Linked DNA regions of Oreochromis niloticus. The protein of the gene in region 3 purifies or fractionates together with the protein of the main gene of each other region. This does not show direct contact. Links are inferred from orthologs where the notes say so. Each region holds a gene or a part of one and is shown on either strand. Other genes may lie near its edges. The genes, in order: ecd, ttc27, aar2 and eapp.

What was found.
Region 1: the proteins of aar2 (region 3) and ecd purify together in Homo sapiens (affinity purification with mass spectrometry; 3 studies listed by BioGRID and IntAct, counting the BioPlex papers as one, with this or other methods). This does not show direct contact. The link is inferred for Oreochromis niloticus from reciprocal best matches to the Homo sapiens genes AAR2 and ECD.
Region 2: the proteins of aar2 (region 3) and ttc27 purify together in Homo sapiens (affinity purification with mass spectrometry; 3 studies listed by BioGRID and IntAct, with this or other methods). This does not show direct contact. The link is inferred for Oreochromis niloticus from reciprocal best matches to the Homo sapiens genes AAR2 and TTC27.
Region 4: the proteins of aar2 (region 3) and eapp purify together in Homo sapiens (affinity purification with mass spectrometry; 4 studies listed by BioGRID and IntAct, counting the BioPlex papers as one, with this or other methods). This does not show direct contact. The link is inferred for Oreochromis niloticus from reciprocal best matches to the Homo sapiens genes AAR2 and EAPP.

What each region holds. Positions count from the first base shown.
Region 1 is NC_031978.2:12,752,119-12,759,054, reverse strand, and holds the start of ecd (protein ecdysoneless homolog), read right to left. Parts: upstream 3,014-6,936; 5' UTR 2,930-3,013; intron 2,339-2,929; coding exon of another isoform or gene 2,292-2,338; exon of another isoform or gene 1,786-2,291; intron 1,680-1,785; exon of another isoform or gene 1,358-1,679; intron 1,213-1,357; exon of another isoform or gene 1,194-1,212; 5' UTR 1,175-1,193; coding exon 970-1,174; intron 852-969; coding exon 734-851; intron 575-733; coding exon 487-574; intron 1-486. Other genes in the region: protein FAM149B1, read left to right, coding at 2,292-2,338, 4,473-4,589, 5,258-5,402, 6,042-6,190, 6,362-6,505. UniProt on the Homo sapiens protein: Regulator of p53/TP53 stability and function. Inhibits MDM2-mediated degradation of p53/TP53 possibly by cooperating in part with TXNIP. May be involved transcriptional regulation. In vitro has intrinsic transactivation activity enhanced by EP300.
Region 2 is NC_031978.2:32,722,942-32,729,837, reverse strand, and holds the start of ttc27 (tetratricopeptide repeat protein 27), read right to left. Parts: upstream 3,003-6,896; 5' UTR 2,757-3,002; coding exon 2,669-2,756; intron 1-2,668.
Region 3 is NC_031984.2:16,024,510-16,031,628, forward strand, and holds the start of aar2 (protein AAR2 homolog), read left to right. Parts: upstream 1-4,106; 5' UTR 4,107-4,427; coding exon 4,428-5,190; intron 5,191-5,272; coding exon 5,273-5,502; intron 5,503-6,436; coding exon 6,437-6,604; 3' UTR 6,605-7,119. UniProt on the Homo sapiens protein: Component of the U5 snRNP complex that is required for spliceosome assembly and for pre-mRNA splicing.
Region 4 is NC_031983.2:4,398,482-4,406,031, forward strand, and holds the start of eapp (E2F-associated phosphoprotein), read left to right. Parts: upstream 1-4,539; 5' UTR 4,540-4,650; coding exon 4,651-4,730; intron 4,731-5,958; coding exon 5,959-6,137; intron 6,138-7,550. UniProt on the Homo sapiens protein: May play an important role in the fine-tuning of both major E2F1 activities, the regulation of the cell-cycle and the induction of apoptosis. Promotes S-phase entry, and inhibits p14(ARP) expression.

The DNA.
Region 1 (6,936 bases), on a different chromosome or scaffold from region 3:
CTAACACTTGACCAAACACTTGGTTGATAATAAAGACTGTTCTTTAATGGAAAACAAGCAGATTAGTTGGTGTGCTGGATGGCTGTGATCCTTGATAATGCCGTGGGCCTTATGCAGGTACAGCTGGAGGTAGATGCCCTTAATGGCTGGAGGGCTCTTGCCAGTCATTTATTATGGAATAAGCCTTTTTCTTTAAGCTCTGACAGCTGACCGATGAGAAAGTCTTTACAGACAACCATTTTAAGTAATAAGTAAAGTTAACATTCCTGTTTTTTTTATTTAAAATGAAAAATATTTTGACATACAGCCCTTGTGTTGTGAATCGCATTTCAACGTATCAGTAGGGAGGTCTGAAATGAAACCAAAGCTTGCCTGGGGATCAGTTTATAACTCCATAGTATGCTGTGGGAGGCAGTGAATTATTTGGGCTGAAACATACAGTGCTTCCAGTACTGTCAACTCTGCCATGTCATGTGGAAAACTCACCCTGTTTTCACTTGTGTCTGGATTCAGCCACTTAGGAAGGTAATCTGCTGCTTCAATCAGGAGAAACTCCCCATCATTATCCTCAACTCTGCACATATAAACAATTATTTTGGAAACAAAGACATAAATGACTGGTGAGCATTTCAATAGTGTTTATTTATTTATTGATACCTTTGTTTTATTATTTTGTGCAAACTCTGCTCTGAGTTTATAAATATTTAGAAACTATGAGCAGGATCACTATTACCTTGCTGCAAGCTCAGGGAAAGCCTCTGTGATTTGCAGCAGGAGATAAACGATAAACCACTCGTCCTCAACATTGTCTCCAAACTGAGTGCTTCCACCAATGTGAGCAGGAATGCCACCTGTGAATGAGATCCATACACACCAGCCATTAGTGTGTGTACCAAGTGTTAACCACGTAAAGACAAACAATGTGCATATCTAAACTGCTTCCTTTCTGGGGTGCTGAAAAGGTTCTACCTTTCTCAGGGTGATACTTGAGGTTGAATGGCTGATGCTGCCAGATGTACTGTATCAGAAGAGGGGCAACCTTTGCCAAAATCTCCTCTACTAGATGTGTCAGACGTTCCTCAGTCTTCTGTGAAGAAGAGCTGCTTGGCTGGATCAAGAAGAGCTTGTACTGGACCATGTCCTCCTCAATCATTCTCCTCTGCAGAGCCTCCATAGTAGCAGTTTTAAAAGACCTAACAAAAAGATACGACGCTAAAGCGATGTGCAAAGACATATGAAAGGTCGTCAATGTCTGTTTTTATATTATGACTTTGAGGGAATCGTTGGCTTCTAGATAAACTCAACGTATTACTAGTGATTGTCACGACAACCTCTTGAAAACTTAATTTGGCCTTACCTTGTCTTGTCTTCCTTTTAAATTGGCTATGTTGTGTTAGTATATTCTGTAGCGGCTCTTATTACGGTTATTCATAAATACGTTCTTTCACGCCATCTGTAACTATTTAGGTCCTACGATGAATTCCAGTCGTCCTCGCCAAACAGATAATAAACAAAGTTCCTACCTTCTGTTTTTGTTTTTACCGATTCAAAAAATACTTTACATTGTGATAAACGCACATTACATAATAAGTCTAATTTTCCACTAAATTTGATAAATATACACCTTGCATTTAGTTAAAATTACAGGACCGGCGAATACATTTTATAAACGCAACATGCTATTGCAATGAATGCTGGGAATTGAAGTATGCAGCCTTTGACTTTCAAGAAACATTTAGTTGGCCTGAAATACATTTCCCACGATCCCTCGGGGCAACGAAGCTGCGTATCCATGACAGCCGCTGTATTTTTGTTGTTGGTGGTGATGCTAGCTTTAGCAAAGAATATCCTATGCGCTGGCGATAGCTCCAATAACGTTAAACACTCATTAAAAAATATATATATTCCTTTATATATATATATATATATATAGGGAGAGAGAGAGAGAGAGAGAGAAACGTAAATTATAGTGAACTTCTGGGCTACATAATATGCTCATTTAGTAAACCAAGAATTATTTTATGAGGGAATGTGGAAATTGTACGATGCTATTTGTGCCTTTTTCTTTTTTTCTAAAAATAATTTGGCCACCCTTGTACCAGTAGCTAGCTTATTTTTTTGGACGTAGCTTAGCTGCAGCCGTTAAGGAACAGCCTCTCTATCCAGAATATCTGCGGGCTAATATTAGAGGAAATGTCAGAGCTCCATCTGAACCGTTCCCTGAGCGTCCTGGAAGTGGAGGCGAGGAGGAGAGGAGAGGGTTTGAGCATATAATACGGAGGCAAAGGAGAATGATTTCACGATACAACCGGAGACCTGTATCGCACAAACTCGAGATGTGAGTAGCTGACATCATTTCTTTCTTTTTTTCCTTCCCTAACGGTTATTGAATGCTGCTATTATTCATTGGAGGGGGATTTGATGATTGACTGCTAACCTACACTAGTGACAGAAAGAGTAAAAATGATTATTTGTGTTGATCGATGTGGTGTTATTCCAGCTTGCCCGGGGTCTGTTTTAGACAGATGCAGTGTGAACATGGCAATCAGCTCATTTTAGATGATTGTCACATTTTTATTTCATACCACCCACTCTATTTATTTTCTCTCCAGAGAAAGTTGTCAAGCCATAAGAATGAAATGTAGACATTTATTTAACGAGATTAACTCAATTAGAGATACAAAACCAACACTATGGGAAGATACTATGGAATCAAGTGTAATCACAGTGTAATGTTTAAAAAACACATAATCTCCAGCTGTTTTCACTGGTGTCTGTTTTCTTCATGTCATCTTGTCATATTACAGTGCAGCGAAAAAAATAGACAAATATATGAGTAAATATTAAACAAAAATATTTCAACTAAACGCGAAATGCAGTTTTTAAATGATTTCATTTATTTGGGGGGGAAAAACCTATCCAAACCTACCTGCTCCTGTGTGAAAAAGTCTTTACCCTCCCTTGTTATGCCATAAATTAACCACATTGTTTGGAAAGCTGTGTTCAATTTCACTAGACACACCCAGGCTTGATTACTGCCAGACCTGTTGAATTAAGAAATAATTTAAGTAAGTGGGTGAAAAGATCTCAAAGGATCTCAAAAAGCAACACACTGAGCTACAATCTACATAAACTCAAAAACAGCTGAGAAACAAATTCACTGAATTTTTTTATTCTGGAAATGGTGACAAAGCCATTACTAAGGCTTTTGGAAAACTGCAGGCCTCGTATGTCTCAGTTAATATCAGTGTTCATCATTCAACAACAACAACAAAAAAAAGAAACTGGGCAAAAATGGCATCCACGGGAGAGGTCAATGGCAAAAACCACTGCTGACCAGAAAGAAACGAAGGCTCGTCTCGTTTGCCAGAAAACATCTTGGTGATCCCTTCATGAAGACTTGTGGGAAAAAAATCTTTGGACTGATGAGACAAAAGTTGAACGTTGTACAAGGTTTATGTCCTGTTTTATCTGGTGTAAAACTAACTCAGCATTTCATAAAAAAAACTGCCAGCAACATTCAAACATAGTGGTGGTAGTGTGATGGTCTGGGGCTGCTTTGCTTCTCAGGACCTAGATGAAGCATAATTGATGGAAATATGAATTCTGCTCACTACCAGAAATCCTGCAGAAGATTGTCTGGCTATCAGTACGTGCACTGAAGCTCAAGCACAGTTGGGTTATGCAGCAGAACTATAATTCGAAACACACCAGCAAATGCATTCTGAATGGAGGTGACAAATTAAGGTTTTACAGTGCCCTAGTCAAAGTCTGAACTTAAATCTGATTGAGATGCTTTGGCATGACCTTTCATGCTCAAAAAACCACCAGTGTGGCTGAGTTATGACAATTCTACACAGATGAGTGGGCCAAAATTCTTCCCTAGTGAATTTTAAGCATTGCCTGTTATCGCAAACACAAACTCTAAATTGCAGTTCTTGCTGCCAGGGGTGGCACAGCCAGTTATTAGGTTTAGGGGCAATTATTTTCTTCACCCACTCACCCATCCATCCATTTAAAAACTGCATTTTGTATTTACCAGAGTTATTTTTGTATAATCTTAACATTTGACTGGTGATCTGAATCAGCTATCAGGAAGGGTGGCAAATAGTTTTCACAGCACTGTGTATGTGCCATAAGTTCATCAGTGACTATAATAGGGACTCTACATCTGATTTCTTTAGATCCATCGTAATCTGCTCTGACCTTATCATTCCCTTTTATAAAGGCTGTGTTTCTCTGACAGTTGCTCATTGCAAAAATAATTTTAATAAGACTCATGGTGATGGAGCTTTTGCACACCTTAGTCGCACCCATAGTTTTTTCTATTCTATTTCAACACAGTGTTCAGATTCAGACAGGGTAGTTGGAGTTGACATATTAATATCCTTCCCTAGCATCCCAAAATGCAATTGCACACTCTTTTGTTGATTGCTTTTTCACTGAATGCTCTAAATCTGTCTTTATTGCAGTCGTGGGTTGTCTCGAAGCAGCCTTGACCACCATCCTCTCCCAGAAGAAGCAGACGACAACCAAACCCCTCCGAGCTACCTCCATGACCTGCAGGAAGCTGCTTCTGCACACAACAGGTAACAGCTTGTTACAGTATTGTATTGAAATCTGTGTGAGAACAAAGACAGTGGTACTTAAGAAACTCTGTGCTCAAATAAGTGCCTAGAGTATGTTACAAAATGACTGCAGAGCAGTCAAGCCTTGCTTCTTGGCTGTTATGTAAGCAGACAAACCTAAGCAACACCAGAATAAGGCTGAAATAAAACAGCCTGCAACCAGTCACACATACACACATTCTCATGCTTGTGTATTTTGTAATGTTACACCATCTTGAGCAGACAACTGATTCTCAGGGCTCTTGCTATGTGACACCCAGAAGCAGCGGATTAATTCATATCACATTGCCTCCTTCAGATGCGCAGTTAAAAGAATAAAATATGAGGCAGCCTGTTAGAATATTCAATTGCCTTGACATTTGGCCTTCACTTTCCACCTTGATAATATCAGCAGCTGACACCAGTTCGATTCCCTCAGCGGAGTAACAGAGACTCGGCTTATTCTTCAGATTACACAAGTTGTTGGTTCTTCCATTTCTTCTAGTACAAGAAAAACTGATGAAAAGAGAAATCGTGTGCTGAAAAGAAAGAACGAGTGCTAGAAATACAAGACACTTCATATATGGGAATTTGGTTCTTCACGTTGTTTTTACAGCCAGGGTACATAACTGTTTTGTCTTTGTGCTTAGCTCAGAGACATCTGCTGCCTCAGGCCACTCTCAGTGCCCCACTGTCATCTCAGTAGACTCCAGCCAGTCCTGGTTAGGTATTCACAGCTCCACGGGTACTGGCATCTCCACCGAGAGGAGCTCTGTTTTCTCCTGGGGCTACGATGTAAGTCTGCTCATGAGAAAACTATTGATGCCAGCCTGACTCTGTCTGTAAAACAAAGGATGTACACACTGTGCACACTAAAACACTAGATATGTTGTTTTTCATTTTTTTTCTGTTGTCTTATTATAGACACAAACACATTGCTGCAGTCCTATGTTAGATTTTCATTTAGTTGCTAACATTTGCCTCTTTTTCACAAATTTGTGGAAACATTTAGAAGAAGACAGATGAACACAATATTTATATAGTATAGTGGATGCTTTGTTTGTACACACAAACTCTGATTCTGCTTTCTGGTTTGTTGTTATGTCGTGCTTTCTCGACCCTGCTGTTTCTACAAAACTTTTTCGGACTCAATGATTTATTTAGTTTTTTTGTTCTCAAGTTGCTTCTGAGAAGCAAACCCTCTCAGTTAAGAGACATTCTCTTAAATATACATCTTTCTCCGCTTTGATCTTTTTTTTAATGACATGAACAACTTGACCACAAACACTTGAATGCACCTCAAGAGACTAGGAGCTAATTATCATGCACGTTGATGCTTGCATTGAATAGTGATATGTTGCCAGTAAGTAAAAGGCGGCACCTTTAGTCGTGAAGAATAACTCTCTTTCCTATGTTCCTGTTTCCATCCCATAGGAGTTTGACAAGGCAGCATCACGGCAGGTGCAGCAAATGTTTGAGGAGATCGACAAAGATCTTTATGAGGGAAGAGGCAGTGGGGGAGGGATACTCCAGGGGCTCCAGGATGAATGTCAGCAGTGGGCCACACGTTTCCCTCATCTTCGGTATCTAATTCGCTGTCTCCTATCAGCAGCCAGCCCTTTTTAAATTCTCAACGAAATGGGGCAGCAGTGGGATCAAAGACTAATTCTGATTGTGGAGAAAAACCTGTTAAAGTGTTCCATTCTTCTACAGAATCACACTTGTTTTACATATTCATTGTGTGTGTCACTCAGTATCCTGGGGACTCAGCTGCTGTGTCCCAGTGATGAAGGCTTCCAGTGGTATACTACCTCAGGGAAAGGCAGCGCTTCCAGCAGGCCGTCAGCGGGCAAAGAAAGCGGTGTGAAACCCCAGGAGAAAGATAGGGAAGGAACAGAGTAAGTCTCAAAGTCCCAATCTGCACTGAGTCGATACATAAGGTTAGAGATCACTTGTTGCATCTCTCTCAGATATACGAAGATATCTCTGCGTGTGTGAGTGGTATCTCACCATCTGATCTAACGTTATCTTGGAGGGTGCAGTTTCGATAGCATCTTAGGCTGTTATGTTTGATTTGTGTCCACATAATTATGGCTGATATGTTATCGCTTTTATCATTCTTGGCTGAAGAAGATTTCAGGAATGTCAAACATTACTGAGAACAGCCTGTCACTGCCGCTTAAAATGGACATTGCATTTTGCTTAATCAGTCAGTCTTCAGCTTTTACTCTGAAACAGCAGAGACAAGAATTATCAGCCATTACTGTCAATAAACTCTGTTAACACTAACTATGAAACAGTTTACAGCAGTTATGTATGCTCAAAGCCC
Region 2 (6,896 bases), on a different chromosome or scaffold from region 3:
CTGACGCTCCGACCGGCGGCTGCCTCGGGTCTCTCCTCCTGCCTCCCCTTCCCTCATCCACCTGCTGGCCTCCACCACTTGTTAATTTTACTGAATCTGTGGAAGCTACGCCATGGCCAACACCAAACAACTGAGTTATTTTTACACACCGACCAGCGTCTGGCCAGTCCACCACCAAAAAAATAAAATAAAAAAAATAAAAATCATCGGGCCACTGAGCAAATGCCCGGTATGCCCGATGGCCAGTCCAGCTATGGTCGTGCGTGCCATCAGTTAACCCTTCCGCACGCGTGCCTAGGGTTGCCGACCCCTGCACTAGACATAACTGATAATGTTGTTGTTTAATAAAAGTGTGCAGTTTCAATTTAGAGTATCAAAGAGTGGCAGTTAAACTTTAGGTAAGAGTACAAAAAAACTGTTAGGTAAACAAAATGAATACCTGTACAATAAAACAGTGGATCAGTGAAATATTAAACTTATCATTAACTTCTATTTATAGACTGTAAGCAGCAAGACCTCTCGATCTGATACAAAAACTTAAGGAAAAACAAGTTTTTAGGTACAAACTTTTAACAAGTCCATCTGTACAAGTACGTACATCAAATGAAGTGCATCAAATAAAAAAGAGAGAGCAGTGCAAATTAATTACATCTTCAAATGTGCATTCATCACTTGGCATGAAACCATTGACTGACTTTTCTTACCAACAGTCTGAACACATCTCGCAATGACAGTGCAGGAAGGAAACAGTTTTTTTGTATTCATACCTGGATAACATATAAAGATCATGACAAACAAATTTGCGACACTGATGTACAGTTTTTCAGCTACATTTACTGATTTTCCATCTATGTTTTTTTGTGTGAAACCCCCCCCAAATAAACTGCATATGTAAGCAAGCAGATGCAATGGTGTACAGAGGACTTTTCATTCTTTGTACTGTAGGGCACCTTAGATGCAGCACACTACAAAAACTCTAGAGCCAGCTATGAAGAAAAGGTGTCTAATGACATTAAAGGGAGAGAAACAAAATCTCTCTTTCAGGGATAAAACAGAAACCAATACGACTGTTTCGGGATGTCGCAAAAGATCACAGCACTTAACCATGCCACTCAACCAACAAAGCCCATAAGAAGACAGTGTGGGTGTCAGAGAGACGGACGATGCCTGCACACATCCTGGCACATAGAGCACCTCAGCAGAGCGCAGCGAACCATTTACAGCCCGAGAACAACAGTGGTTTCACTCACTGTGAGCTGTGTCCAATTTAAAGACATATCTATTTCATTTTCAACATCGAGAACGTGTCACACCAAAATCAAATGAGCTACAGGTCACTAAGTGCTTACCTGGCTACAGTGGGACCCTGTAATAAAGAGCCATCTCTCGTTTCCTTCATTGTTTTAGGCTGCTTTATTCCACAGCCTCAGCCTTCCAGTACAACAGAGCATCTGGGGCAAAGTCTGACTATTGCTATGCAGTCCAAACCTAATGCTTTCCTAAATCTTTCAGTCTGGCCATTTTCTTTCAACAGAAAAAAAAATGACTATCATGTTACCTTTAAACTGACAGTGAAAGGATCTTTTATTCTTATAAGAAAAGGTCTTCCAGGAACTGGATAATAGATTTACAGATAGTTGTTGAATATTGTGCTTTAAGACTGCAATATTCGTCCCTACCTTAAGTTTCTTTCATATCTCCATTGACAAATCACTCCAGTTTAATTAAATGCTAATGCACTGTCAATTGCTGCGGCAGAAATAAGACGTGGTCTAGGAACCAACCGTACTGAAGTCACACTAGAGACGGTTATCTAACAGGAATCTCGCAGTCTGGCCATTTAAAGCCTGCTGGTAACAAAGAGAGACCTAGTTAAACAGACAGCACTGTTTAATAAAGGATGTCTATCACTGGGGCTTTCTGGCAGTTGTGGATTAGTTTCAGGGTTCTAAACGCAGCTGACAGATGCGGCTCGAGTCGACTGGACGCAGGTGTACAGAAAGAAGACGTCATGCCAGACTCTAATGATAAACCCTACCAGGAAAAAAAACAACCACGCTAGCTTTAGTTCATAGCTTTTCAACATTACCATCTAATTTCCGTCCAGCTACGTCTCCAGCGAACATTGGGACAATTGGGCGAACTAAAGCTAACGTTAGCTAATGTTTAATTTCTTTTAAATCGACTTCATCATTTACTGAAAATCAATCCCAGTATAAGATTAACGCCGAATAGCTTGGTTACATACTAAATTTTAAATCGCTATACAATATTACAAGACGAAATAGCTACCTCTGCCCACAAGCAATGCAAGTTATTACAGCCAAAAAATACATGGGATTTGGTATGACATCCACCCGAGCGCGAATGACACGTACCGTAGCTAAGTTTGCTTAGCAGGCATTAAATGAACATGAACTCATTTAGACTGCGGCTCTAGCACTCAACACTTTTATTAAGACAACACAGGAAGTCCTGTCAATATCGTTAAAGGTTACACTTAGACCATCGCTGTTACTGTCAAATGCTTCTATATTTTAAATGCTACTTCGCTTGGCAGGCAAGCACAACCTGACAGCATTGAGAACCTGAGACAAAACTAACCTCCTTATGACAGTGTCAATAGCTACGTGGTGAATAAAGGAGCAGAATCAACCGACAGTCTCACCTGCAGTACTGAAAATGTTCTGCTTCCATTCCGCTGCTTCACTGGCCGTTAAAAACCCTCGGAGTGTTGCGATCTCCACGTTCAGCATGACTGAACGGATTTGGTTCTTGCCAAAGTCAAGCTGCCTTCAGTCAGGACGGTCCCAGATAAAAGCCAGCTATAAAGCGCTGTACTAACGAACCGATTCGGAGCGTCTCAGTCAGTGATAAAAATGTTTATTTCTGGCCATGTGGAGCAAGCGACATCAGTGAGCAGCCATGACAGATCCGCGTTGCATTGTGGGAAAACTAATCAAGGCGTGCACAGAGATGCTGAGCATTTCCAGTCTTCACATGGCCCGGGGAGGTGGGGGAGTCTGGGGCAATGTTCCCTCTAATTTTTAATGTGTCTGAGTGAACACACAAACTCCCTGAGCGATCCCCTGGACCACTGTGAGCGACATCAGACATGTGCACTGTGGTCACGCCAGCATCGAGTCCAAGTTACATGGTTTATTAAAATAATCACTACAGCATTTACATTTATTACACTGACTACTTTTAATTAACTGCTTTAGCCCACTTACAATGAAAATGTAAAAAAATCTAGTCATTGACCTGTGCAGTATGTTAACACTATTGGAAGTAAAAATAACTTGAACTTTTTAACTTATATATATATATATATATATATATATATATATATATATATAGCTCTGACTTGTATTATGAGTATGTGGTCTGGTAGCTGCAAAGTTTTTTCCAGCTATTTTTTTTTTTTAATGCAGCCAATGCGCTTTTAAACAAACATTTCAAACTATTTATGTTAAGATATTTATTGTGTGTACTCATGTTGTACAGTATGTTTAGCTGCATTATGGTTACTTTAACAGAGAGAGAGTATTTTAGTTGTCACCACAAGGAGGCACTGTTTCATTGTAAGGGCACGTATGCTGCGTCATCACGCCCCTAAGAAGAAAAACTATACCACAACAAAAATGGCACCCATGAGGAAAGTTTTGCCGCGTGTTTTTGTGGAATAAAGTTCCCAAACTATTAAGGTCATTTTTGCCTCCGTCGTCATTTTCCTTCGAGTTGATCGCTGTCGATGCTGCAATACTCAACAATTTACATTAAATTTGATGCCACACAGATTATTTGTGCCACTCCAAAAAATAATTTCTGTCCACTATGAGATAAAGGAGAACAACAGCCTGATACCTGCAGGCCTGACAACAGGAGATGTATCACTCCTGTAAAACCTGTAACATTCAGCAGTCGCCTCATTGTTCTGACACACACAAAACTATTGACTATACTACACACTAACTACACACTAACTACACAAGATTTGCGCTAAACGTCTCAAATCTCTCACATCTCAGAACACCGCCGTCACTCCTAAAACTTCCCCCCGTTTCTTAACAACTAGATGCCACGTTGCCATATCATTTTTTGATTGGTCGACATGGTACTTTTTTCGACCAATAGAAAAGGGTGGGGGGTTTTTTGGTTTTGTTTTTGCTCACAGGCGGAGAGTGCTTTCGAGCGTTTTCCTTATAAAACGTTGTTTTTACCGTTTCTTCCCGCAGTAAATATAAACAACAATAGTAATCAGGAAGAAAACCAAACATTGCATATATTTTTATCATAACTCTGGCTTTACGTGGCCTATCAACACAAAATCAAAACTGGTATAAAGTCCACACTTTTTCCGTCAATTGTTCCGTCTGTCCTGCTCACATCTCCAATACACATCTCCAGTACACGTTGTCATTAACGTGGCTTCACTCCACATCAGCCATGCCGCTTTGCTAGCTAAAACACCGGTGGCGGCACATAAGGACGCTGTCATAGCCTGTCAACGACGTTGATTAGCTGCGTATATACGAATGTGAATCGCATTATTGGCTAGACTATGGGATAAGGTGGCATCGTTCTAATCCCATACGGGAGCAGCCAGTCACTCACTGACTAACACTGCAAAACAGAATTGTTAAAGTATTAATTTTAATTTCAATTCAGGTTAGATTTTTTTTTTTTTTTTTTGTGCGCAACGCAGATTTTCTGTGCGCAGAGACCGTGCCAGTAGTGCGCAATTGCGCACGTGCGCAGCTTAGAGGGAACATTGGTCTGGGGTTGTTGGGGGGTTTTTTCAGAGATACTTACTTTTTACCTATACACGTAAATGATATGCAACTGACAAAAACGCAGAAAATGACATTCTGAAAAAAGGTGAATTTGTAGGCTCAACTAATTCACCTGGCTTGAAATCCCGTTACTTGAGTAGATTTAGCCGACATTAAACTTTGATAGTCCATAAATACAGTAAACTTGACTTCATAAGTTAATGTGTCAAGTAGTTAAGTGTCAATTTAGTAATATAAGACTGATATTGTAAACATCATAATTTGGAAATATCAAAAATAATTATATTTCATCTTTGCGTATTAGATGTTATTATGGTGAAATTAAATGTTATACATCAGGTGTTACAGATGCATGAATACAAAAAACACTGCAAAAAATTCTATTTTGTACCTGTCAAACTGTCTTGTCTTGGCATTTACGTGTATTCAACTAAAGAAACGAGAATAAATTGTTTAGATTAAATGAATTCTTTACTAAGTTATCAAACAACAGAGTTGTCCAATAACTCAACTCACAATATTCCACAACAAATCATCGCAATACTTTTTTAAAAATAAAAATAAAAGTATAGTCTATAAAGGATGTCACACTGGTGCCAGAAAATAAGGAGAAAAATGTGTTTTTAATTATAATTTTATTTTTTAATAAAAATGTAAATATGTGTGCTGTCCTACCTGTGCAGATAGACAGTGTTGGGAAGGATACTTTTAAAATGTATTCCACTACAGATTACAGAATACATGCCCCAAAATGTATTTTGTAACGTATTCCGTTACGTTACTCAATGAGAGTAACGTATTCTGAATACTTTGGATTACTTAATATATTATTATGCTTTTTACAACTACATGAATGTACTATTGCTGTGTGATTTATTACTTTTACTGAAGGTTACTCACCATAGCAATACCAACTAGATTTTTAAATCTTAATATAAAATGAGTAACAGTAAGGTGGACAATAGGTAAGCTGCACTTTTTGCAGCGATCTCATATAGAAAACTATTCCGCGCGAATATAAAACAAGTCCGCGGCTCCGAACCGTAAAGGCATAAAACCGTAAAGAGACCTCTCGTAGCCGAAAACTAGCTTTACTTTGGGTCAACTTTGTATATATATATATATATATATATATATATATATGTATATTATATATTTACATGCTTCCATCTCCCGTTTCTCTTTTTCTCCCTCCCTGACGCTCACAGACACATAACGGGTATGGCAGTCCATTCTCCCTGCAGCACGGACTACACTGCCCATGAGGCTACATTCTTTAGGACTATGCCTGTAACACTCTGCCTATTGCCTTCATATTAAATCATTTTTGTGAATAATTTTTCAAAATATTTCTTCACGTTGTTATGTGGGCCGCAAGTAGCGGTGACATGGGCCGCGAGATTGAGACACAGACATGAGAGCCTCTTAATGCGTGTTTTGTTTGGGTTTCCACCGGCGTGGACACCAAAAATATAGAATTCATAGCCTTATGAAACAGAAAAATACCGCCGTGTAATCCATTCATTTCAACAAAGTAACTGTATTCTGAATACCACCTTTTAAAACGGTAACTGTAACGGAATACAGTTACTCATATTTTGTATTTTAAATACGTAACAGCATCTGTGTGTGTGTGTGTGTGTGTGTGTGTGTATAAATGTACATATATATATATATATATATATATATATATATATATATATAAAGCTCCTTACCATGCATGGAGGGTTTTACCCCAAGTCCAGCACCCTGAGGCTGTACGCTAAGCGGAAGGAAGGGGGCCGGGGACTGGTGAGTGTCAGCACCACAGTCCAGGATGAGACAAGAAACATCCACGAATACATCACGAAGATGGCCCCAACTGACAGCGTGCTCAGTGAATACCTCAGGCAGCAGAAACCCAAGAAAGAGGAGGAAGGCGAGGAACCATCATGGAAGGACAGGCCCCTGCACGGTATGTACCACCGGCAGATAGAGGAGGTGGCTGATATCCAGAAATCCTACCAGTGGCTGGACAAAGCAGGACTGAAAGACAGCACAGAGGCACTAATCATGGCAGCACAAGAACAAGCTCTGAGTACAAGATCCATAGAGGCTGGG
Region 3 (7,119 bases):
AAAATTATGCTTTATTGTTTTGATTTGTCTAGAATCAGTCTAGAGTTCAGTCTATGTGGTTGTTTCAATTGTGAAATAAATGCATATTTCAGGCATTTTATACAAGAACTATCTAAAAAGGGCGTTTTCACATTTACAGAATGTTTGAACTCAACACATTAAGGTGTTTTTATCTGTAGCTGTGTTTGTTAAAAACTTTACATTTTTGTGGAATTATATGTTTTATGTCTTCTCCAGATTTGGCTATATCTGTTTATAAACACATGACAGTGTATATAAACTCTTTCTCAAGGATTATATCATGATATGTTATGTAGCCATGATTTTTGTTGTTTCTACATATCTTTTTTGAAATGTGTTTAAAAATACTTTGCAGGCATCCAATAAACAGTTTATAAATAAAGTTTATTGCAAAATTCACTGTTTCTCCCAAACAAGTTGGTTTCTAAGACTTTTTTTTCTTGTGCTGTAAGTTAAATGTCAACTCAAACTCTGACTGCACACTTTGTTTGTGAGATGTGATTTCCCACACTTTCACTTCAAGAGTGACATTCATCCTCCCGAGCAGTTCCCATGCAGGGTCATAGTTTTGACTGCTCTCTCTGGTATTTAATTCCAGTTTTTTACGTTGTAGGCTGACTTTTTTTTTTTTTTTTTTGCTATCACAACAAGCTTTTAGAAAGTTTAAATCGGCGCTTTGGATAAATGCTGCGTCGTGTCTTTCCAACGAAACCGAAAGGATGGAGGCAAATGATTGATTGCAGAAGTTGTCCTTGACTTGATCGGACTGGAGTTTGGTGAAATCCTAAGCCCGGCGTCAGCAATCCATGACGGGGAAGGAAATAGGAGCAGCAGTCAGTTTGGTAATGTTGGAAGCCACGGAAAGCCACATCGGAAGTCTACCCGTCGCCGTATTAACGTCTCCGCCACAGGTAGTGCAAAAGTACTGAAGGGGAGCCAAAGAAAAAAAAAGTGAAAGTTTGGAGCTCACCATGAGCGAAGACGGTCACGACTAGAGATGGGTTTGCTCGTCTGAAGATCCTGCAGAAAAACATGATAAATGGTAAGCGCAGTTTGAACATCTGGTGCGTACTTACGCAGCAAATGAGCTGCTGCTGATGAAGCGTGCACACCGAGGTATATTATTGTGGCTATTTCGACTTTGGTCGAGATGTCAGGTGGCGCAAACAGCTGCAAACAGACAGATGCTTTTAACGCACTGTGCGCCTCAGTGGGAGCCAAATTGAGCGATGATTCATGGCCTGTTTTCCGTGGTTGCGTGTGAAGAGTTGTAACACTGCTCTCTTTTCATAGTGTCTGACTGGAACTCTGCTCCGTAGTGTCCTGGTGGCTGTCTTGTTGGCCTACTCCTGTGGGAAAAGTGGATGTAACTATAAAGAAATACTGGGCTCCTACAGAGAAGTCATCTCCGTTGAACTACAGAATCTGGTATGATAACAAAGTTTATCATAACTGCGGGATTAATTAACTGTGGTAGATTTTTAAAGATGATTGTGTTTTAAGACATCCCCACTAACTAAACTACTATTAAATGCTAGTTCACTGGAATCAGTTGCAGCTGTCATAAAGCTTGTGGAAACTGTGAGTTAATAACATGTGCTAGGCTGCCCTCCAGTGTTTGCTCTTCAAGTAAAGTTCTTTTCCCCCTCTCTCTTTTGGATCACAAGCCAAATAAATGTCTTAAATAACTTAACACTGGGCTGTTTCTTTTGCAGAATCTGGCTGTTTCAGCAAATAAATTTAAAGAGAGAGACCCTTGTCCCTCAGGAAAGGTAAGTGGCACTACATTATATGCACTTTCAGCACCATGGACAGGGTAAAAATAAGAACCTGCGTGGCACATGTTGTACATTTAAGTTTGGGTAAATACAGAAGAAGTTTTCAACCTTTGACTGACATGCTAGATGGGCTATTTCACCTTTTTAATTTTCTACACGTTTGGGCTGTTATCTCATGGCAGGCACGTCGCATCCTGGTTTCCATCTATGGTATGACACAGCAGATGCGGTGTCAGGGAAGTGGCAAAAAGCAGTCTGACCTGGTGAAGCCAGTTGAAAGCATGGAGCAGCTAATTGTGCAAAACTGCAGTCCCCAGTATTTGGTAAGATTACTTTAATGTGCTCTACTGAGCCCCCAGTACCACCACCACCAGCACCACACAGTGAGAAAACAAGCCAAATAGCTCTTGTGCTATTTTCTTTTTCCATGTTTTTCAGGGAAAGAATGCCTCTTGTTCAGCTGTCCAGAAAATACGAGGAAAGAAGAGAAAAAGGATGAGGTTAATCCGAGTTATCAAGGCGCTGATCACTTGCTGGCAAAAACTTCAAAGTGTCTCTGTGCTTTCAAAGTAGGAAATGTATCTCCCTGGTTCCTATAAGCCTGTGCTACTTTCTCATGAAGACATAAGGTGAATTTACACAGTGTTCCTTGCTACAGAATATTACATGTGACCAATCACTGACTGTATTTAGACAGCTATTTTTCAAAAGCAAAGTCATGAATGTTTACTGTTGTCAAGTTCTCAGTGTCTTGTGTATTAAAAGCTACACCAGCATCTGCATGTCAGCATTGCTACTTGTTTTATGGAATAGCTTTATAGTAAGCAAAGATAAGCTAAAGATCGATGCGTTCAGATACTTTTAGAACATTTTAAAAGTTTCTCCTGTTGTACAAACTCTTATGTTTTGTGTTTGCAAGCCACATGTCATCATACCCAAAAATGTTCTTATGTCGGTTATGTAGTTGAGTATATGCCACATAATAAAATTTGTACATGTTTGATTTATACTATTCTGAAGTGACCCTATGCGGTTATTGTAATAATGATAATTATTATTATTAGGGGTGCTATAGGTGTATCAGCTACAATAGACTTTTGTTGCAAGATATTATATAACCATCCTTTTTTCATTATTTTGATTAGGGAATGAATGTTAGTGTTACAAAATGTCATTCAATAAATATTGCACAATGTCTTTATTATAAAGAATGGAAACATATGGAAGCTTGTTTCTGTCAGTCAAGATTTTTTTTATTTTAATTTTATTTTTTTTGTTAGTCAAAATTTTCAGGTGTCTTGAAATTTTCTACTTATGAGAAATCACTCAATTCTAAAACATTTAGTCAGTAACTTGACGTTTTGAGAAAAAAGTTCTAACTTAGCCTCTAACTTTTTTTTTTCTGAGTGATGGAAACAAGCTTCCATAAAGAGGACACAAGAAAAAGCAAAATGTGAATAAAGCAGATATTAATACATGCTGGCGAAATCATTATATTTTAAATAAAGTCTAGCAACAAAAAAAAAAAAACAACCAACCAATGCGCTATTTATTTATCAGTGATCTGCTCTTAGCCACTTTGTTGTTATGGACAGGCTGATAGATGAGGTGAGGCAGGAGTCTCTGTGTACTGTGATGTTTGTAAACGACATTGTGATCTGTAGTGAGAGTAGTGAGCAGGGGGGTGAGACCCTGGAGAGGTGGAGGTTTGCACTGAAGAGGAATGAAAGTCAGAAGAAGCAAGACAGAATACATGTGTGTGACTGAGAGGGGGTAAAGGTGAGGATGCAAGGAGAAGAGGTAATGAAGGCGACAAATATAGGAGGTGGCAGAGAAAATGTTAAGATTTTCATTTGTGGTGACTAGGATGGACAAGATTAGAAATGAGTCTACTGGAGGGCCACCTTACGTTGAGTGGTTTGGAGACAAAGTTAGAAAGACAAGGCTGAGATGGACATGCGCAGATACAAGAAGGAAGAGGAAGGAAAGAGGAAGACCACAGAGATTCGTGGATGTAGCGAAGGAGAGCATGCCTAGGTTTGGTGAGACAGAGGACGATGCTGGGGGAAAGGGTGAGATGGAGGCAGATGTTCGCTATGGCGACACCTACAGGCAGCATGCAAAAGACGAAGTGCAAATATAGATAATATACAATAACTATACACATACACAAATCATATAATATATCTATATAGTTATTCTATTATACATAAACGCTTGATAACATTTTAAATATATTAATTAATGTAGTTATTTATAGAGGGGAAATTAAAAGTAGACGGACACAAATGTGTTTCATGGTACTGTTTCCGTCCGGAGCAAGAAATTTGTGGCACAACATCCACCATACGAACGACTCGAAACGTCAACAGCTGGATGTATGAAGTGTGGCTGTGAGAAAGGCTATTACACCGAAGATACTAACACAGTGTAGCTTTAAATGTTTTTGCCATATTTTTCAGTCATAGAGAATCGCATCTATTGAAAGCATTAGCGTCAAAGCAGCAGCGGCTCTCTGTGTTAGACCTTTTGGGGAAATCCGTTTGAGTGATCTGCATTTAACAGGTGAGAGCTGAGTTTAGTTATTTAATTTGTTAGTAGATTCACGTTAAGTACCCCTTAAAAGACATGGCCAGCAGCAGCAGTGGTAGTGTGGACATGGATCCAGATGTTGCCCTGAGGCTTTTCGAGGAGGGAGCTACCCTCGTGCTGCTGGGTGTTCCTCAGGGTACAGAGCTCGGAATCGACTGCAAGAGTTGGCAAGTGGGTCCTCGTTTCCGGGGTGTTAAAATGATCCCCCCTGGTCTGCACTTCCTCCACTACTGCTCGTCAGGCTATGGAGGACAAATTGGCCCGAAGACAGGCCTCTTCCTCTCTCTCAAACCCAGAGAGATCATACTGGCCAACTGGGACGCCAAGGAAGAAGATCTGGACTTCTCAGCCTCCAAGAATGAAGAGGAGTTGAGTCGGGTTCGTGCCAGCTTGCGAGAGCTGGATCCTTACCTGGGCCCCTATCCCTATGAGGTGATGAGGAAGTGGGTGTCCCTCACTGACCGTATCAGTGAGGAAATGGCCAAAAACTTGCAGCCTCTCTCAGGTCGGGTATGTGCATTCAGTGACGTGATTCCCGAGCTTCAGTTCACACACACTAAAGACAGGGCGGAGCAGCCGAGGAATGACACGGCCTGTCAGAGCATGAAAGAGGGGCTTGACAGGCTCCCCAAGATGAAACAGAGGGAGGGTACGGAGTTGCGCTTCTCTGTCATCCCTAAGAAGACCTACCCTCCCGGGGCTACGCCGGCTGAGATCACCAAGTGCAGCATGGACCTGAGCTACGCCCTGGAGACGGTGCTGGAGAAGAACCACATGCAGGAGGCTCTTAACGTGCTAGGTATGTATCACATTTGTTAAAAATGGGTTACTCTTGGATTCATTATGCAAGAAAAAGTACTGACATTTATCCCCTCTCTCAGGTGAGCTGCAGTTTGCCTTTGTGTGTTTTCTCTTTGGAAATGTGTACGAGGGCTTCGAGCACTGGAAGTGCCTCCTCGCTCTGCTGTGCCGCTCAGAGGAGTCCATTCTGAAGCGCAAGGACCTCTACCTGGGGCTCATCGCCGTGCTCTACCACCAGCTTGGAGAAATACCTCCTGATTTTTTTGTTGACATTGTATCTCAGAACAACTTCCTTACCTCCACGCTGCAGGTACATGCACAAATCAGACTATAGTGTTTGTCACTTGAGGCTTCTTTATATACAACTAAATAATATATATTCATCTCACTGGTGCAAAATTTATTTTAGATGTCCACCAAGATGTTGTGATATTAAAAAGTTGAAAAAATGTGTTGTGCAAACTAATCTTAAGTAATTTAGGTTCCATTAACCAGTATCACACTTTTCAACCACCAAGCCAGAAGATCAGGCTTTTACTTGCTCCTTGTGTGACTTTATTGGCCCACAAAAATGACAGTTTAATTTCAAGATTATGCTATAGGAACATATCATCATTTATTAGTAGATTCAAGCTTTGTATTCTGACTACATTGTGATCTGTGGACAGAATTAGAATAAATAAACAAATGGAAGTCAAAGCAGCTAAAAACATTGTTTTTCTTCGCATTCAGTCGATCATTTCAATCAGCTCTCTTCATGGGTAAATCGGTCATTGGAAACACCGTCACTGGTCCAAATGGGTCAGCAGCTGGGCTATCAACTTGCCCAGCAGAGTTTTCTGCTGGCCTTGGGCCATTGGCCTGTTGGTTATGTTGAACCCTGCATTTGTTCTACTTAAACCCCAGTGGGGATTAAAGTGCACAGCAAGCCCAGGTTAAAAAAATTATAAAGATAAGATATCTTTATAAAATTATAAAGATAATAATTCCCATGCAATGAGAAAGGGATGTTTTAATTGCCAATGCCTTGAATACCTTTCACAACACTATTTTTATTTGGCTGGTATCTGAGGACAGGTTATAAATCAATCCGTATAACATACGTTCATAATCCTGAATGATCTCCACGACACACAGAAATGTTTGCAAACAGAAAATGGGCCACAGTATCAAAGCATCACTTGAATTGAATCACATTTACAGTTACCACTTTATAAAATTGTTGAATTAATTTTTTGTCACAGGATTTTTTCCAGTTTGCCATTGGGCCTGGTGTAGATGCCACCCTGCGTAAGAGAGCAGAGAAATTCAAAGCCCACCTGACCAAGAAGTTCAGATGGGATTTCGATTCAGACTTGGACGACTGTGAACCTGTTGTGGTGGAGCTGCCTGAAGGTGTTACAGTCGACTGAAACTACTCAATGGACTCTGTGCTCACCGAGAAAAAGGAACACAGAAGGAGAGCCACAAAGTATCTTATGCTACAGTCACACTAGGGAAAACAGTGGGTGGAGACGACAGCACGGCCAAACATTTTTGCAACTGACTGATCTCATTGGCTTTAAAATAGTTGCTTTGAAGATGGCGACCAAGTCTGTGATCACTTGCAGACAGCCGCTATCTTTAAAGTGGCTTTGGTGATGGTGATAAAATGTCAATACACACAAATTCACATTATGTACTTATATTAGGAGTGCAACTATGGCCTCATAGATTTGAAGCATAAATTCAGACATTTCTGCACGAATGGTAACGCAGCTGCTGCAGGATGATGATTCCAGCTGCAGAGTCACATAAGCTTTTGGCAGCCTCACATTTAAATTAGCAGCTGGGAAACAGTTGCAGAGAGATGTAGTGAAGTCTGGTTCTGACTCAGAAGGATTGTGTTGCGTTGAATCTGTTTGTGTTTATGAATTAGACAACACAC
Region 4 (7,550 bases), on a different chromosome or scaffold from region 3:
GGACAAGCACAAGAGGATGGATGGATGGATGAATTTGTGTGTATCCTCCTTCCTAATAGCACCTCATGGTGTCTGCCTTCATCAGCACATCTGTCCTGAGCTTCTGAAACAACATGTCTGATCTTTTGGCTCCACCTAGTGGCGGCTCATCCCTACTTCCAAAAGCACTAGCACAATATAAATAAAGACAGAATGATCTGTAAATCTTACAAATCCATATTTTATTGACAATTCAAATTTTACTATTTAGAAAAAAAAATCAATTCATTTTCAGCTCAAACAAAAATGTTAGGCAAGAGCAGGAATAGGTTGGAAAAGTAAGTGGCACTACAAACAAACGGCTGAGGGAACATTTTACTGCCATTTATGTTAAATAACAACAGGTCAGTAACATGGTTGGGTATAAAAGAAGGATCTTAGAGAGGCGGGGGTTTTTTGGAAGTACAGACTGGCAGAGTTTCACTCTTCTGCAAAAAAAAAAGAAAAAGAATGTCAACAAATTATGGAAAAACTTCAGAATAATTCTCTCCAACGAAAAACACTTTGAATATCTCTTAAAGTGCATTATATCATCAAAAGATTCTGATGTGCAGAAATCTGTGTGCAAGGGACAAGGTCAACACTGGGTGATTTTGGGGCTCTCACGTGGCATTAAAAACATGCATGATTCTGTCACTGAAATCACAGATCACCACGCCATCCATAAATACAGGATGAAACTCTTCTGAAATGTTATCATGGAATATTTCACCAATACTTACCAAAGCTTTAATGGACAACATCAAAACAGAGAAGAGACAGGTGTTGAGAGATCTTCCAGTATGTCCTTTGACCACAAAAGATGGTGCACTACATGCCAGCATCACCATCAAAACCTGGCTCCTGAGAATCACCTCCAGTATCAGTGATGCAGTCAACTTTCATGGCTTTCTTACATGAAAAACTCTTGAAATGACAATTTCAACCAATGAAACTAACTGTTAATAATTTATTTCCTCACCTGGAAAAAAAATTGTTTGAGTGCACAAATGTTCTAAGGTAATATACAGTGATGTGAAGAAGTTTTTAGTTTTTGTGTATTTGTCACACTTGTTTCTGATCATCAAATAAATTGTAATATTAGACAAAGATAAAACGCAGTAAATGCAAACTGCAGTTTTGAAATGATGATTTCAGTTATTAAGGAAAAAACATATCCAAGCCTGTGTGAAAAAGTAATTACCACCTAAACAGAATAACTGGTTGTGCCACCCTTGGCAGCGAGAACTGCAATCAGACATTTGTGATAACTGGCAATGAGTCTTTCACAAAGCTGTAGAGGAATTTTGGCCCACTCTTTTTTCCAGAATTGTTCTACTTCAGCCACATTGAAGGGTTTTCTGTTTAAGGTCATAAAACTGTTCCGAGTTTGATTGGGCCTCTCCAAACCCTTTTTTTCAGAGGTGAAGCTGCTGGTGTGTTTCAGATCATTGTGCTGCTACATGACCTGAGTGTGCTTGAGCTTCAAGGCACAAGCTAGTGGCTAGCTATTTTCCTTCAGGATTTTGTGGCAGAGAGCAGAATTCATGGTTGGTCATGGTCATGAATTGTCCAGGTCATCCAACAGCAAAGCAGTCTCACACCAATTACTTGTTGACCACAGGGCTGGGTACATTTGGATGGCTTTTTGTATTTTCTGAATGAATAAAATCATTTAAAAACTGAATATTGTGTTTACATTTTTATTTTTATTAAACCTTTATTTATACAGGTAGACCCATTAAGACTCAATGTGTCATTTAGAAGCGAGACCTGTTCCAGACAAACATATTAAACTTACAACAATAACAGAAACAATAAAATAGCTAAACTTGTCTAATGTACACAGTCATATCAAAGGCAGACAAGTTCCCAGTGATGATTTCACAAAAACATTTATACGTCTTTTAAAGTCTGCAAGTGAAATCAGTTGAGAGAGCTTCAAATCCTTCTGTAATGTTTTCCATGAACACGGGGCAGAAAAGAAGAATACCTTCTTTCCAAGCTCTGTGTGAACTGATAGAACAGTGAATGTAATGACGTCCTGAGACCACAGTCTATGAATAAACTGTTTGCATAACATGTACTCTGATAAATAACAGGGCAATAAACCAGAAACAGACTTATAGATAAAGTGATACCAATGAACCGTCCTGCGTAAGGCCAATGGGGATCAGTCAACAAGAGAATATAAAGTACAGTGGCGTGTTAAAGGTTTACAGCCAATTATAATTTTTAATGCCACATGATAGACAGAATCCAACAGATGAAGAGAGTGAGCACGGGCATTCGTGTAAATTGTATCACCGTAATCCAGGAGGGGTAAAAAAAGTGCCAGCAACAAGTCTTTTCCTTGCTGTGAAAGACAAACATGATGTGTTTCTGAAAAAGAACCCCAACTTCAGCCTCAGCTTCTTTATTAGGTGGTCAATGTGTGGCTTAAAGGAAAGATTTTTATCAGACACAATACCTAGATATTTGTATGAGGCCATAGTTCCAATGGAAATGCCTTGAGCAGATACAAGAAAAGAAAGTACTGCCATCACCCTCCTTCTGTTTGAGACTTCTGTTTGACTTTGCTTTTTTCTGCATTTAAAACCAGTCTGAGCTGACTCAACTGTGACTGAATACTATCAAGAACTAGCTGTAATTGTTTGAAAACCATGTCGATGGTACGAGAACAATAATAAAGAACTCATCTGCATAAAAATGCATAGATTCTTTTATTGCGTGCAAGGCTTCATAGACGTCACTGAAAACTTTTTGGGAAGCAGTTACAGTACTTTGCAGTTTCCTAAGACCAGACTGGAAAGGAGATAAAATTCTGTTTTCATTCAGATAACTTTTAAGCTTTTTATTTACTAGCCTTTTAAGAATCTTAGCTAAGATACAGAGTTTGGAAATTGGCTTGTAATTATTAACCGTTGAAGAATCCCCGCTTTTCAGTAGGGGGAGTACAAAGGCATGCATCCACATCTCTGGTAAAGTGTTCTGTTGTTTAGAAAGATTCAAAATATAAGACACTGGCTCAGCTATGATATTTGCAGCTAGAAGCAAGAAGAAAGGAGACAGATTGTCAAGACCGGCGTTTTTGGTGTCAAGGCATTTCAAAGCCTTACATCCCTCTTCTACCATAAAGAGTGTAAAGGGAAAAGTATTAGTAAACAATGAACTACAAGCAGAGTTATATATGTATGTGCTAAACAGAACAAGAGGCAACAAAGTGTTCATAACAACAATTGAGAGTTTTGGTTTTGTCTGACACAGGAGTGGAGTTGATAATTAGGTGAGGAGGTAGCTCTGTGGCAGAGAGAGACTTTATAGTTTGCCAAAACCTCACCTCCTAGGGTAATTTAGACTGTCAGTGGTTAAAGTCAAAAAGTAGCCACAGTTGGCCTTTTTGATGGAAGCAGTAAACCATAAACGCAGTAAACGCAACTGATGAAAACATAGCCAATCACCATCAGAATCTGACTTTCTCACAGCTGCCCAGGCTTGGTTTCTCTCATGTTGGAGACCAGCCACTTCAGAATTGAACCAGGGGCTCCCCCGACCTTTAACTCTGACCTGGCAAAAGGGAGCATGTTTGTCCACAAAGCAGATAAAACTCTCCTGGAAATATTTCCGAGCTAAATCAACATTGTCAATCAATGTAATATGACACCAGTTAAAACTGAATAAGTTGTGAAGAAACAAATTTCTTTTTGTGATGTTGCGGGGCTTGGAGTGTGAGATTTTTGCGTTTCCCACAGCACCAGCTATGCCTGCTTAATGGGGTTGGAACCATCAGTCATCTGTCAGTGCGCCCCAGGGTGGCTGTGGCTACAATGTAGCTTGCCATCACCAGTGTGTGAATGTGTGTGTGAATGGGTGGATGACTGGATATGTAAAGCGCTTTGGGGTCCTTAGGGACTGTTAAGGCGCTATATAAATACAGGCCATTTACCATTTACCATGTTGTGCAGAAGTCAGATTGGCACACAGGTGACAACCCTATTCCATATTATGACAAGAACCAATCACCTAAGTAAAGAGAAATGACAGTCAATCATTACTTTCAGAACTGAAGTACAGTCAGTCTGGAAAAGAGAGTTCCAGTAGCAGACAAATCTGTGCTAATCAGGCCTTTATGGTCAAATAGCTGCTAAGAAACCACTACTAAGGAAAAGCAACAAACAGAAGAGATTTGTTTGGAGCTAGGAAAAACAAGCAATGGGCATTAGACCAGTAGAAATTTGTGCTTTTTTCTGATGAGCGCAAATTTGAGATGCTTCCATCTTTGTGCGACGCAGAAAAGGTGAACGGATGGTCTCTATAAGCATGGAGGAGGAGGTGTGATAGTGTGGGGGTGCTTTGCTGGCGACTCTATATAAAACTTTATAACATAAAAAAGTTTTAAAGAGACTGAAGGGAAGTTTTCCCCCCTTTTTTCTCCTTTTGTTATATTCCTCCCTAAGCGCCTGTCCCACACTCCAGCCCAGTTGACGGCGGTAATGGACTTTAGTACCGCTTACCAACCCCTTATTAAACACAAAAGAAGAAGAAGCGGAAGCGGAAGAAGCAACTTGGCGTGTTGTTGCTAACTTATCAGCACCTCATGCTATTGTAATTGAAGCTCCTCAAACATTTAAAATGAATAAGCTGGGTCAAGCACAAGACTTTGAGTCATATGAGATCGAAGAGCCGAGCGACGAAGAGCGGGCCGCCAGCAGGTGCGAGGATAATACGTGTGTTTATTTTTAGGGGCCGATTAGGCTAAAGTGGAGATAGCTAGCTGGGAGCTAACATGTAAACAAACTGGAATAGCAGGGAGACTGCGCTGAGCCGCTCTTTGCGGTGAATTTATTTTAACGTGACATGGATGTTACTGCTTAATTATCATTAATTATGATTATGATGCTCAGGATTTTCTATGAGTCTGTTGTGGCCAGTGCAATCCTCTATGCTGTTGCATGCTGGGGGAGCAGGCTGAGGGTCGCAGATGCCAACAGACTCGATAAACTGATTCGTAAGGCCAGTATTGTTGTGGGGATGGAGCTGGACTCCCTCAAGGTGGTGTCGGAGAGGCGGATGTTGTCCAAGATAAAGACAATGTTGGATAACACCTCCCACCCACTCCATGACATGCTGGTCAGTCACAGGAGCACGTTCAGTGGGGGACTGAGATTACCGAAAAGCACCACTGAACGACACAGGAAATCATTCCTGCCTGTGGCCATCTCCCTGTACAACTCCTCCACTTAACACACTGTTTACTGCAACAGCTACACCCTTCTTGCACATGTTCTTTTCAGCTATTCTTAGTTGGTGTATTGTCTGTCTTTGTTAGTGTTTGTTTATAATGGAGCACTGTAACGAAAAATAATTTCCCCTAGGGATCAATAAAGTATTCTGATTCTGATTATAGAAAGGCGGCAGATTTTTATAAGTCTAAATGTTACAGGCAAGCGGATGAGAAGAAAATAAAAACACGAGTGCAGATACTTATTATTGCCGTAATTAGCCAAGAATTTTCTGGATTTATTATTATGGCACTTAATTAGAGAAAATTAAGCAAGACGTCATAATTATTAATATTTATAAGTGATGTCCTGAGACGTCTTGATGTGTCCAATCAGAAGTCCAAAACTTCAAAAGAACTTGTCTACCTGAAGATATGAAATTTCATTATTAAAGCAGCAAATATGTATGTACCGATGGATTTAGTGAGTACAGGCAACTTATTTTGGTTTTGAGCTAAGCTTAAAGCGACAGTTTCGACGTGGATTAATGGTTTCCAAAATTAAGTGCTTAATTATTTGGTCTGTTAAACACTATACGATGCCACCACATGATATAATGTCACATGTGCAGAATAACACATGAATGGTTACTTCAATTTAGTAATCTCCTGGGTTTGAGAGTCTGTTTTTTTTTCTGAAATCTTTCTCTCTGTTTTAGTTCGGAGGATGAGTTGGACGTGCTCCTGAACGGGACTCCGGACCAGAAAAAGAAGCTGATCAGAGAGTATCTAACCGGGGAGAGCGAGTCATCCAGCGAGGATGATTTTGAAAAAGAGATGGAGGCAGAGCTCAGCTCCACCATCAAGACCATGCAGGGAACCTGGGTACCAGCAGCAGGTAACACTCAGCTGCTAGTATTTGTATTTTCATAGTGATATGTCTGGAATTACTTTGCTATCAACTGATTAGATGGCAGTAGAGCTGGGCGATATAAGATTTTTTTCATATCACGATATGTTTTTTTCATTTCAGGCGATAACGATATATTTCACGATATAAGCCAAATAACTATATTTGTAAGATTTAAATGTGCCGTTGCTCACAAGTAAAATGTGAAATAATTAGCAGCTTGTTTTAATTAAAATATTTATTTCCCATAATAAGTTTAACAGGGCAGATGTACTTAAGGAACATGAGACTTCAGTTTCAGATAAATAAAGGCAAATATTGCAAACTACACAAAACGCAGCCGCTAAAGCATTTAAGTTTCAAAATAGAACAAACAAAACAGACTACTAAATTGTCAATTCCACTTAGAAACAAAATATTAATTCTAAAAATAAATCTTAGGTTGTTTTACAGAAGAACAGACAAAATTGACTAACTTTTGTCAATATCAAATAAACTGAGAACTAAAAGAAAATTCTCAATCTCTCCTTGTTGTATAGCTTAGCTTTTCAAACAGTTTTAACAGTTACTTTAGTCTGACAAAAGCCGAATGACGAATTAGCGCTTTCAGTCAGAGATTGAGCATGCACCGCTTTATTGTATTTCCAGACTTGCTTTCGGCACAATTTACAGTGCGCGCTACTCTGTTTTTTGTCAGACTTGAAATAGCCGAAATACCTTCACACTACGGAACTTCTGTGGCCCTTCCGTTCGACAAGCTCTCCGGCATTGGAACCATCATCTGTTTTTTCTTTGGTAACCTTCGCTCACGCTCTCGGTTGATTTTTCTCTAGTCGGCAAACTCATTTCCTTCATTACCTGGGCTGCACGGCTGCAAAAACAAATACACATGTGCGCCTTGGCGCTTGTGCTGTACGTAACAAGTCACGTGACGTGACGCTGCGGCTGTGATTGGTTCGGCTCTGCGCTACTTAATTTGGATTGGCTGTTGTTTTTTTGTTTTTTTTAAGAGGACAAGAGAGATGAGGCCTATCGCAATAGTTTAATTTTTCTATCGAGAAAAAGTTATTTCGCAATACATATCGTTATCGTTTTATCGCCCAGCTCTAGATGGCAGCTATAGCCAAAAGCTGTGTGTTAAGCTTAATCTTAGCTAATTCTAGTCATTGAATGAGCTGACAGTGTTTGTGATGTTGTTGTTTGGAGCATTTTTAATGAAAATATGTTAAAATAATCACCTGTGTGTCTGTGAAGGTTCTCAGTAATCCAGGTCATCGTAGTCTAAGGAGCTTGGAAAGAAAAGCATCTGGTCTTCTTTAAGTTGCTTGAAGACTTTTCACTTCTCATCCAAGAAGCTTCTTCAGTTCTAGTGAAGTTCCTAGTTTTTCACTTTTACAATTT